Kluyveromyces lactis: one gene and its partners. The protein of the gene in region 3 interacts with the protein of the main gene of each other region in a pairwise test. Links are inferred from orthologs where the notes say so. Each region holds a gene or a part of one and is shown on either strand. Other genes may lie near its edges. The genes, in order: SNF1, MMS2 and SIP5.

Region 1 (3,717 bases), on a different chromosome or scaffold from region 3:
CATACTCAGTTGTCCGTCGGACTTTTTCATGGTAACTGATAGTCTCATGAGCCACTCGTCATGCGCAGCTTCTGCCTATTCCAATTTCACTAAATATTGTCACGTGACCCTCTTTGATCCATCTAGGCCTTCCCTTCTGGATACCACAGGATCCATATGCCCAGTCACTGACGTCTTGGAACTCTGCCGTGTGCTGGCTAGCTCACATGACCCTTCGTCTGGCCTGTCTTCAGTCTATCTTACGAAAACTACAACAAAGTAGCATCGGTGGTTTAGTGGTAAAATCCAACGTTGCCATCGTTGGGCCCCGGGTTCGATTCCCGGCCGATGCATTCTTTTTTCATGTGTCAAAAACATGTATGTTGTTTTCCTCTTCTTCCCGGCGAGTGTTGTGAGCTAAGAGTAATTTCTCATATAATATAGTGATTGTCATTATTTAATGATATGTATATAAGGCTTAAACTTTAAGCAAATATTCAAACTTATATACACTCTTCGTTGGATATTATCCGTTAGTATTTTTTTAATTTCATGAACCTTAAAATCAACTTCCTTGGCTATTCACTGCAAGTTCCATAATCAGCCTGGTTGCTAAATGTAGAAAGGGGTATGCACTGAACGTACTCATTTCATCGTCGTTCCGACTTGAATACACTACACCGTTACTGGACTCCCAGCCATCAAATTTGAAATCCACTAAGTAGTTATTTGTCTCAATTTGGAACAATTGGATTACCATCTTCATTAAATCTGGAATCTGCTTGTTCTTCATTTCGTCATCAGGCATATCGATATTATATCTCCAACGGACTCTAATAGTCCATAGGTCCTCTTCTGATGGTTTCGCCCATTCGGCTCCCAAGTTTTTCAATGCAATGTATATTTCTCCCATAACGTCTAATGGATAGGATCTTGATCGTATACCGAAATGCCACCTTGTTTTTGATTTTTTCACGCTTAATGGTGAAATCTTAGCAGCAGCCTGGGACCCTTGTGCTACCATGTTGGCTCTATGGATCTGTGGTAACGAGCTAGGTAAAATTGCAATCGTGCTGTCTCCATCCTGAGAACCATTTCCATAATGATATTGATATGTACGTTGCTGTGTTCTCTTTGAATGGCGGTGTGAGTGTCGATTTTTTGAGCCCGGGGGGGCATGCAAGGATTGTTCGAAAGTGGGTGGAGATTGCGATAAGAAAGTATCCAAGTCATTAGATTGTTGCTTGTTCACCTTGATGTCGTTGATTAAATTTCTGTTCTCTTTAATTAACTGATAGGCATCCCTGATTTCATTTAAAGATGGATGATCTTCATCGGACTCTAAAGCCTCATATATCTCATCTACGTCATAACCCATAGTGTTTGATAGCGTTTGAACTAACGAATCATCGATCAGTTCGAGTGGCACGGATGGGCCGCCATCTTCTGTTTTGCTTTCAGAGTTTTCTTGATGGGTGCTTTCAGCAGGAACTAGGTAGTCGGGTAAATCAACTTTGAACCATTCATCCTGCATGATTTCATGCACGGTAATTCTATTAACTGGATTGACGATGAGCATCTTTTTGATTAAGCTCGCAGCACCTTGGGAAAGGAAGTTAGGTATGGTGTAAACACCATTGCTAATGTTCTTAAACAACACTGGGATACTTTCGTCATCGAATGGTAACCTACGACACAACATGACGTATAAGATAACCCCTGAAGACCAAACGTCAACCTCTGGACCTGCATATAGTTTACCGCTGATGACTTCTGGGGCCGCATAATTTGGAGAACCACATGAAGTCTTCAAAAAGTTACCATCTGTCATTATATTAGATAAACCAAAATCAGCAATCTTAACGTTCAAATGTTCGTCTAATAGTAAATTCTCTGGTTTCAAATCTCTATGCACAATTTTATGACGGTGACAATAATCTACTGCGCTAATAATCTGTTGGAAAAATCTTCTTGCTTCTTGTTCAGGCATCTTGTCTCTTTGGACAATATAATCAAATAATTCATTACCAGCATACTCAATCACCATGATAATTTCGTCCTTCGATTTGATCACGTCATACAATTTGATAATGTGTGGATGTCTCAACAAACGTAAGTACGAAATCTCTCTCTCGATTCTACCTTGCATATCACTCTTGGCTAGAACCTTCTTATTGATGATTTTTAATGCCACTTTTTGTCCCGTAGAGATATGGTACGCCAGTTTCACTTTACCAAATGATCCTTCACCCAAGGTCTTGATGATTTGATACTTACCGATATGTTGGCCTTGTGCGTGGTTAGTCAGCTGGCGTTGGTGATGGCCTTGACCTGAGCCACCATGCGGCTGTTGTTGATTTGGGTCGTGCGACATATCTTCTCTGATGAGTATGTACTCGTAAATGCTTCACTAAGAGTTTGCGTTCAACAGAGGGATATCTTGTTTACTCTGAGAATAGTTGCTTCTAATTGAGAAGTTGACTAACTTGTTAGAAAACTTGCAATTCTTATACTAGTGTGACGTTTCTGGAGTCTCACAAAACCCAATTCTATCCGCCCTACAATTACGCATTGATCCTTCTTTTATTGTTGATGTTCCGTATATGACAAGTTTTCAATTTTATCATCAAAATGTAAACGGCGTAGAAATCGTTGATGATGACTGATACCTTATGTAGGAGACCGTACTGGGACGAGTCCGGCGAATTGACCATTTTCAGTCACCAATCCTGTCACGTTTTACGAGAGGATTCAGACAATTCACGAATCCATTCTTCACTACGTCAATATGCTATGACACTACATTAAAGTACATCACCACTCGATAAGTGGCTATTATATACGAACCAAGATGTATATATTACATCTTTAATCTTCCCCAATTACTCTTTTATAATTAGGAATAACGTTAATATCGTATTTTCCTCATTATAAACTGGTGATTCCAAAATTCTGCTATCTATGTATTAGTTTCAATCACTACTGTCACTGGAGTAAATATCGATGACTGCGGCAGGATCGTAGAATGATTGTTGGCTAAAATTTGAATGCTCCATATCGTCCTCGTCATCCGTCCAAGAGTCCGTTGCAATATGTTCAGTCACAGGCATCTTTGAGCCCAAATTGAAACACATCAAGCGATTCCTTACTATCATTGTGCTTTTTAAATTGGAACTAGCAAGAGAAAATCTATCATCTAAAACACGCTTACTGATTGAGAAGCTCCTTTCGACGTCAGCAGTTGAGAGCTTAGTGTGGTAAAAGGCAAGAGCCAGACTGCACAATGCAGGAAATCTTGATTGGTTTTCAAGCCAATAGCTCAAAAAATCCTTCTCTTTCTCCAATGGTTCCCCCAAGTATATCTGCCACTCATCCTTAGGCGCAAAATGGAATTCTGAAATGTTTCTATCCAGATATGCAGATAGGTTTTTTAATAATTTTGGCTTCTTAACACGATTGATATTCAATGGTTCAGTTGGTTTATTGTGCGAGCGAATATCGGAAGTTTCAGTAAATCGTTTGCAGTAACTGACAACATAACTTGTTGCTGATTCAATGACATCCTCTTTGAACGATTGCTCAAAGGACCTGTTCAATAGGTCAGTCTTACGGTGAGGTTGTGAGATATGTGCCACCCAATATCCTGGTTCTTTGAACGCAAAGTCCATGTATTTTTCAAATTTGGGGTACGAGGCCATGACCGCAGAGAAAACTTGTTCCTTTATAGTATTTGATGGT
Region 2 (2,379 bases), about 270 kb from region 3:
TCATTTATATGAAAGTTCACTGCAAAGTCTTCCAAATTGAAAGTTTCTCTGGATGAAAGAAACAGTCGAAAGAAGAGTGTTAGGAGCAGGACCAAAATGTAGACCCCTTTTGTGCGTGTGACTCTGCGAAGAAGAGTAAGAATCGGAACGGTTGACCTAGGCCTTTTTCTATTTACAGGCACTTGGGCGAAAAAACCGGCTTTACTATCGATCTGGTGGTGGTTGTAAATCTGGTGGTTTGATGAGAAATTCAAACCAGCAAATCTCTTCGAACCTTGTTTGAACTAATTTACTTAGAGAACAGTGCAATTGAGTGGATCATGATCTAAAACAGGACCTGACTTCTCTTAAGCAAGATGATACTTTTGAGTGGAGGGCACATCGGCAGGCGTTGCTTCATTATACATTGGACAATATGCTTATTATGCGTACGAAAACTTTTGGGAGCCCAAAAGGGCCCCCAAACCAGTTGCGCCAAATACACAACTTTATACTTATTTACTCTCATGTGTATATATACATTTAGTACCTGCTGTAATTTCACTCAAACGTCGTTCCCTCTTGTGGTTGTAACAATTTTTTGTTCGATGGTGTTGCCATTTCCTTACGTAGCTCCAATAAGACAGTTTCCATGGTATAGGATCTTTTCCATTCCTTCAAAGTATGGAATTTCTCTTTGACGACCTCTCCGGTGGTAGAATTGACACATGGCAGGTTGATCTTCGATACGAATTTCACCTTAGGTGGTTCGTCTGGATATGAGGGCCCGCATTCGATGAGCACTGAATATATTCTGTTTTCATGGTTGCTATGAGGAGGACCAAGTATGGTACCGTTCCACTTTGTCATTGTGATATCATCGGAGTCAGAAAGACCATAGGAACAAGATTCTGGACCCAGTCCTTTTTCTCCCTTCTCTAGCTCTTCTAGTAGTCTGAAACTTCTTGGTCTAGTGAAATATGTATGCCATAGTGCGGTTAGTAAAATTCTGAAAGGGTTGTTATAGGCATGGGTATCGCATGAAAGTAAAAGAATTCGAATGAACGTACACTTTAGACATAGTAAGAACAGTCTGGTTAGTTAGCGGTGTGAGCTTTTGATCCCCGTCCCCTTTCTTGATCATCTTTAAAGGGGATGATTTAAACGTTTCTTCATTTCATTCTGATTTTATAATTTTATAGCGAAAATCTTGACTTTGATCTTGATCCATTAAGTGATCTTAGGGGAACTTAAAGAATGCTTCATGCCAATAGTGTCTTGCAATTGTGTCAAACTCAATTGTGTATTATATGTCACTAACACCTCAGATAAAGGAAAAGCCCCTTGAATCGCTAGATGCAGATCAGTTGAGACGTCGCGTTTTAACGCTTCAGTACAAATACACAACCTTACAGAACGAGTATGAAATTTCGAAGTTGTCATCAGAACGCGAGACTTATTCGCTTCAGAACAAATACGATAAGAGTATGAACGAACTGGAAAATGCTTTGAAAGATACCAAGATACTATATGAGGAAAACATCAAGTTGAAGGAAGAATTGAAAAGTAAGGATGCGTTACCGAAGGAGGATGAGAAGATCATAACGACACTTCGAACACAGGTTGTAAGTTTGAAAAACGAAGTTAATTTGAAAGAGCAGCGTATCGTGGAATTAGCTCATAAGCTTTCCTCAAAACAAAATGAAGTTACGAATGCAATTGAATCGATGAAGTTGGAAATTGAAGGTAGCGGAAACATTCTGCATCAACATGAAACTCAGATAAACAAACATGTGGAAGAGATACGATATTTACAACAAGAACTGAAGGAAAAAGAAAATCTGATATCTGAACTACGATCAGTTCAAACTTCTGCGTCTCATAGGAACAATTCTACGGAAGAATTACAAGATTTGGCTGTCTTGAACAAGACTCTGAAGGAGCAGCTCAATTATGCCAAAGAACTAGAGGATATGAACCTTAAACAAGCCACTGAATTGAAGAAGCTTCGACAAAATAACGATGTCCAATCGTTGTTGAAAAAGGAAAATGAATTACTCCAGTCTAAACTCGATCAATTGAATTCTTTACAAAAAAAGTTCGAATCATTGGAAATGGAGAATATCAGCCTACAGGAGAAGATTACACAATGGGGTATTGTTAGGTTAGACGGTAAATTCAAGAACCCTAACGATGTTATAACAGAGCTTAATATGTTACAACGAGAAAATACTTTCCTTTTAGATACGAATTCCAAGTTACAAATTGATTTCAATCAAATGTCCATGCTCAACGATGAGATGGCAATTGAAAGAAACCAACTTCTAGATTTGAACAAAGACTATGAAACTAGTATTTTGAATTTGAAGCGTTTAAATCATGAACTTGAACAACAAAAAC
Region 3 (3,457 bases):
AATCAGATTAAGCTCGTAATGAAGCAGACTATTTCTTTGGTCCTTTGAAAATAAGAGAAACTAAATAATAAAACGATATAAGTAATAAGAATATTTCATAAAAGAAGCTTCAAATTGAACAAATGCCATCATGTGTAAAACAAATACTTTTCCTATCGAAATGTTAAATGGTTACTCCTGTAAGTTTTATTGATATTTCACATCTCATCGTGGAAAGGTGAAAAATTTCAGGAAAAGCTGCGTGGTTTCGTCAGGCATGATAATTCGTGTGATGTGATATAATGTTTCTGCATGAAACGCTGGATGTACAGAGTCAGCGTAGATGTACAAGGGAGAATCCCTGATATTGAGTCGGAGTGAGTCCGCAGATGGGTGCTATATTCCACATAATATTCTATGTTTTATAAACATATATATACTCGCGCGCAGTGTTACTGATGAGTGTACCTTGTATCTTAAGGTATGATGCGAAAGTTATGGGATTGTTAAAAGATGCATGCAAAGTGAAGTAATTTGCGAATGTGTTGATTGTATCTGTCGTTAGTCGTGAAGGTAATGAAGGAGACAGCAGTGCAGGAGAAAATGCTTTCAGTTCATGAAATAAGCTCCAAATTAGGTTAATGATCCTGCAAACTTAGTTTGATTGCTTGTTGGAGCATTTCGTCATCCAGTTCTTCTAATGTTTTCTGACGACGTTGAGGACTATTCCCTCCGTCAGGGCCTCCAACTGAAGAAGAAATGGATGCGTGTCTAGAAGGGTGTTCGGGATCAATTAATTGATTACTCATGTGTATTGCAGTAGCTTTTGCTGATCTTCTAGCGAGTCTTAATCTTTCTTTGGTTAGATTGATCTCCCAGTCAGGTCTTATAGAATCGGATGTTATCACAGACGGATCATCGGCTGCTATTGAGCCCCTACGAATTTGTTCTATAGTTACGAGTTCGTCATCTTCATTGCTGCTAGAATCCGATACTAGGCCTTCACGGTCCTTGTATTCGGCAATCTTGTATTCGGAAGCGTAGATCCCGTTGATTCCAGTCCGCACGTCCCTGCGCGGTTCGTATGTTACACCAAACTCTGCAGTGGCACAGTAAGGGCAATTGGCAGGTTCACTGACAAGAAGGTTGGGATCCTTCAATTCGTCCGGTTCTTGATCTTGAGTTGGATCTACCTCTTCATGCGGGAAGTGTGGTGCGGCACGCTTGATTTGGACGAAGCATTCAGTACAGATCGGTTGCTTGCAACATCTGGAAATATTCAAAGGCTTAGGAAAGTAGAGGAAACATATTGGACATTCTGCTCCATTTTTGTACAAAGTATATTTCAAATCATCACTGGGTAAAGCCGGGTTCTTTGCTTCCGTATGTTTTTTGTTCATAAGTTTCAGCTCAAGATACCGTTCATTTGCCCTCTCCTGCCAACCAACTCTTTTGAAATATAACCTTGCCTTAGAAATTTTCGACCTTTGCCTTCTTTGTTCCCTTTTCGAAGCGGTACTATCCAGTAGATAGTCAAATTCGTCATCGGCTAAATCACCGGTCGGAACTCCCTCAAATTCTTCTGGGTCCTGTTGAAATGAACAATGCAAAGGTAACCCATCAACAATTTTTATGACCTCTTCTCGAGTCCAAGTCTGATCAAATTCTTGCAATGGTGTGTAAAAGGGAGCCAACCTCCTTTCTATAATTAAATTTTTAACTATATCTGCTTCATAGTCCAACTTATCGAAATTATAACATCCAAAAGGTGCTAAAAACCCACCATCCACAGTTTCGTTGTACTTGACCACAAGTTGTCTAGCATGCTTCTCTTTGAGCTTCTCCTTCTCCTTCAAAGACTTCTTCTTGTACGGATTCGGACTGTTGCCGTTGTAACCGTTAGCACTATTATAAGAGTCTGATCTCGCTCTCCCACTAGCACTTAACAAATTTCCTACCAAGGAAGTAGCCCTCCTATTCCGGTTAAGATTTTTTGGGCCCTGAGATCCAAAATTTAAAGACTCTGACCGTTGCTGCTTCCTATTTGCAGGGTCTTGAGGGCTATCAATTTTACCTGGAACATTTCCCATGGCTGGTTTAGATATTAGTGTATATATCCCTCTGTTTCTGATCCTATTAAATTCTGAGGTTCTTCACTTATAAGCGGTAAAATAATATCTAACTTTCCACACAACGCTAACCGGATACTGTAACTTCTGAAACAATGTATACGCAATATAACTAACACACCTTGTTATATGACTCAGTTAATCTATTGTATCTGTGAAGTTAGAAAAAAACCGTTCCTGTGTTCTCCCTATATAATGGAGTTTTGTCTCCTATAGAAATAAAGGGACGTTTTTCTTATGATGGAATTTTTGATTTCAAACCAATTTATTGCTTTATATAGCGACAAAGAGAAACCAGAACATTTGATATAACACATAGTGAAAGCCTCCTGTCTAATCCCGAACATGCATAAAAAAGTCCGAGTGACGAACTGGGAGTTAACAATCTCCAACCTTGTTCGGTGGAAGATATGAGATGTATATATGTATGTAGCTATTATCCCGAAATTCATTTCGGTCGAAAGCGTCACGATACGCAGGCATATGGCATTAAGTTGGAGGTAGAGTACCGGAAATTCTGTCTACATCGGGATACGCACTGTACTGTATTTCTAAAGTTTATGGATAACAATACAGGAGTTTTGATAGTGACACTGAAAAAAGATGTAACTTACATATGGGTATTTGGTATAATAGTGTGACTCACACAGTGAAAGAAAACTAGGTTGAAGAATAGTTGGACCAGGTTTTTGGATAGATTCACTTATCATTCCTTATTATTTCTTAGGTATATATCTTTACATTAGGAGCGAGGCGAAGTTAATGAGATATGAGCCGGGTTTTCATCAATGCTGACCGAGCAGAAAGTAATGACAGCTGATAAGCTTACAGCAGATGCTCTACAATGCCGAAAAAAGACGTACATATATATATCTACTTACTGGGCCGGAATTTGTGAGTTACTAAGAAAATCTTACTACGTTGATGTTAATGTAGGACCCTTAACTCGGCCTTCTATTTTTGACTTTCCTGCTGATATTTTAGTTTCGATCACTTTGTTAATAATATACATTTACGCGAATAAAAACAGCTTAAAGGTTCAAAGTGTCAAAAAAATATTAGGAAAAAAGGAACTGATTTGCTTGACACATAACTGTTATGATGAGACATGGAGTTTTAAAGAACAAGTACAGAGAAGAGGTGGCACAATACGTCTACGTATGTGCCGTTATATAGTCGTTAGAATACTTAGCACAGCTGAAGCCTTCTCAGAAATGGCCTTCAGCCTTTAGTAGAACGGTCATATCATCAACAGACTTGGTAACTCTTTCCACAATGGTGGAGACATCGTCTTCGGTGATGATGAATGATGGTGCCAACAAAGCAATATCACCAGAAACACCGTCGAT

Evidence for each region.
Region 1: the proteins of SIP5 (region 3) and SNF1 interact in a two-hybrid assay, tested with the Saccharomyces cerevisiae proteins (2 studies listed by BioGRID). The link is inferred for Kluyveromyces lactis from reciprocal best matches to the Saccharomyces cerevisiae genes SIP5 and SNF1.
Region 2: the proteins of SIP5 (region 3) and MMS2 interact in a protein complementation assay, tested with the Saccharomyces cerevisiae proteins (2 studies listed by BioGRID). The link is inferred for Kluyveromyces lactis from reciprocal best matches to the Saccharomyces cerevisiae genes SIP5 and MMS2.

What each region holds. Positions count from the first base shown.
Region 1 is NC_006037.1:338,263-341,979, forward strand, and holds SNF1 (AMP-activated serine/threonine-protein kinase catalytic subunit SNF1), read right to left. Parts: upstream 2,354-3,717; coding exon 545-2,353; downstream 1-544. UniProt on the Saccharomyces cerevisiae protein: Serine/threonine protein kinase essential for release from glucose repression.
Region 2 is NC_006041.1:1,702,177-1,704,555, forward strand, and holds MMS2 (E2 ubiquitin-conjugating protein MMS2), read right to left. Parts: upstream 1,061-2,379; coding exon 1,050-1,060; intron 950-1,049; coding exon 541-949; downstream 1-540. Other genes in the region: coiled-coil domain-containing protein MAD1, read left to right, coding at 1,290-2,379. UniProt on the Saccharomyces cerevisiae protein: Has a role in the DNA error-free postreplication repair (PRR) pathway. Lacks catalytic activity by itself. The UBC13/MMS2 heterodimer catalyzes the synthesis of non-canonical poly-ubiquitin chains that are linked through 'Lys-63'.
Region 3 is NC_006041.1:1,967,676-1,971,132, forward strand, and holds SIP5 (Sip5p), read right to left. Parts: upstream 2,070-3,457; coding exon 618-2,069; downstream 1-617. Other genes in the region: KLLA0_E22089g (uncharacterized protein), read right to left, coding at 3,317-3,457. UniProt on the Saccharomyces cerevisiae protein: May negatively regulate the SNF1 kinase by promoting the interaction of the REG1/GLC7 phosphatase complex with the kinase. Deletion of SIP5 promotes resistance to artemisinin, which is probably an indirect effect of an action on the electron transport chain.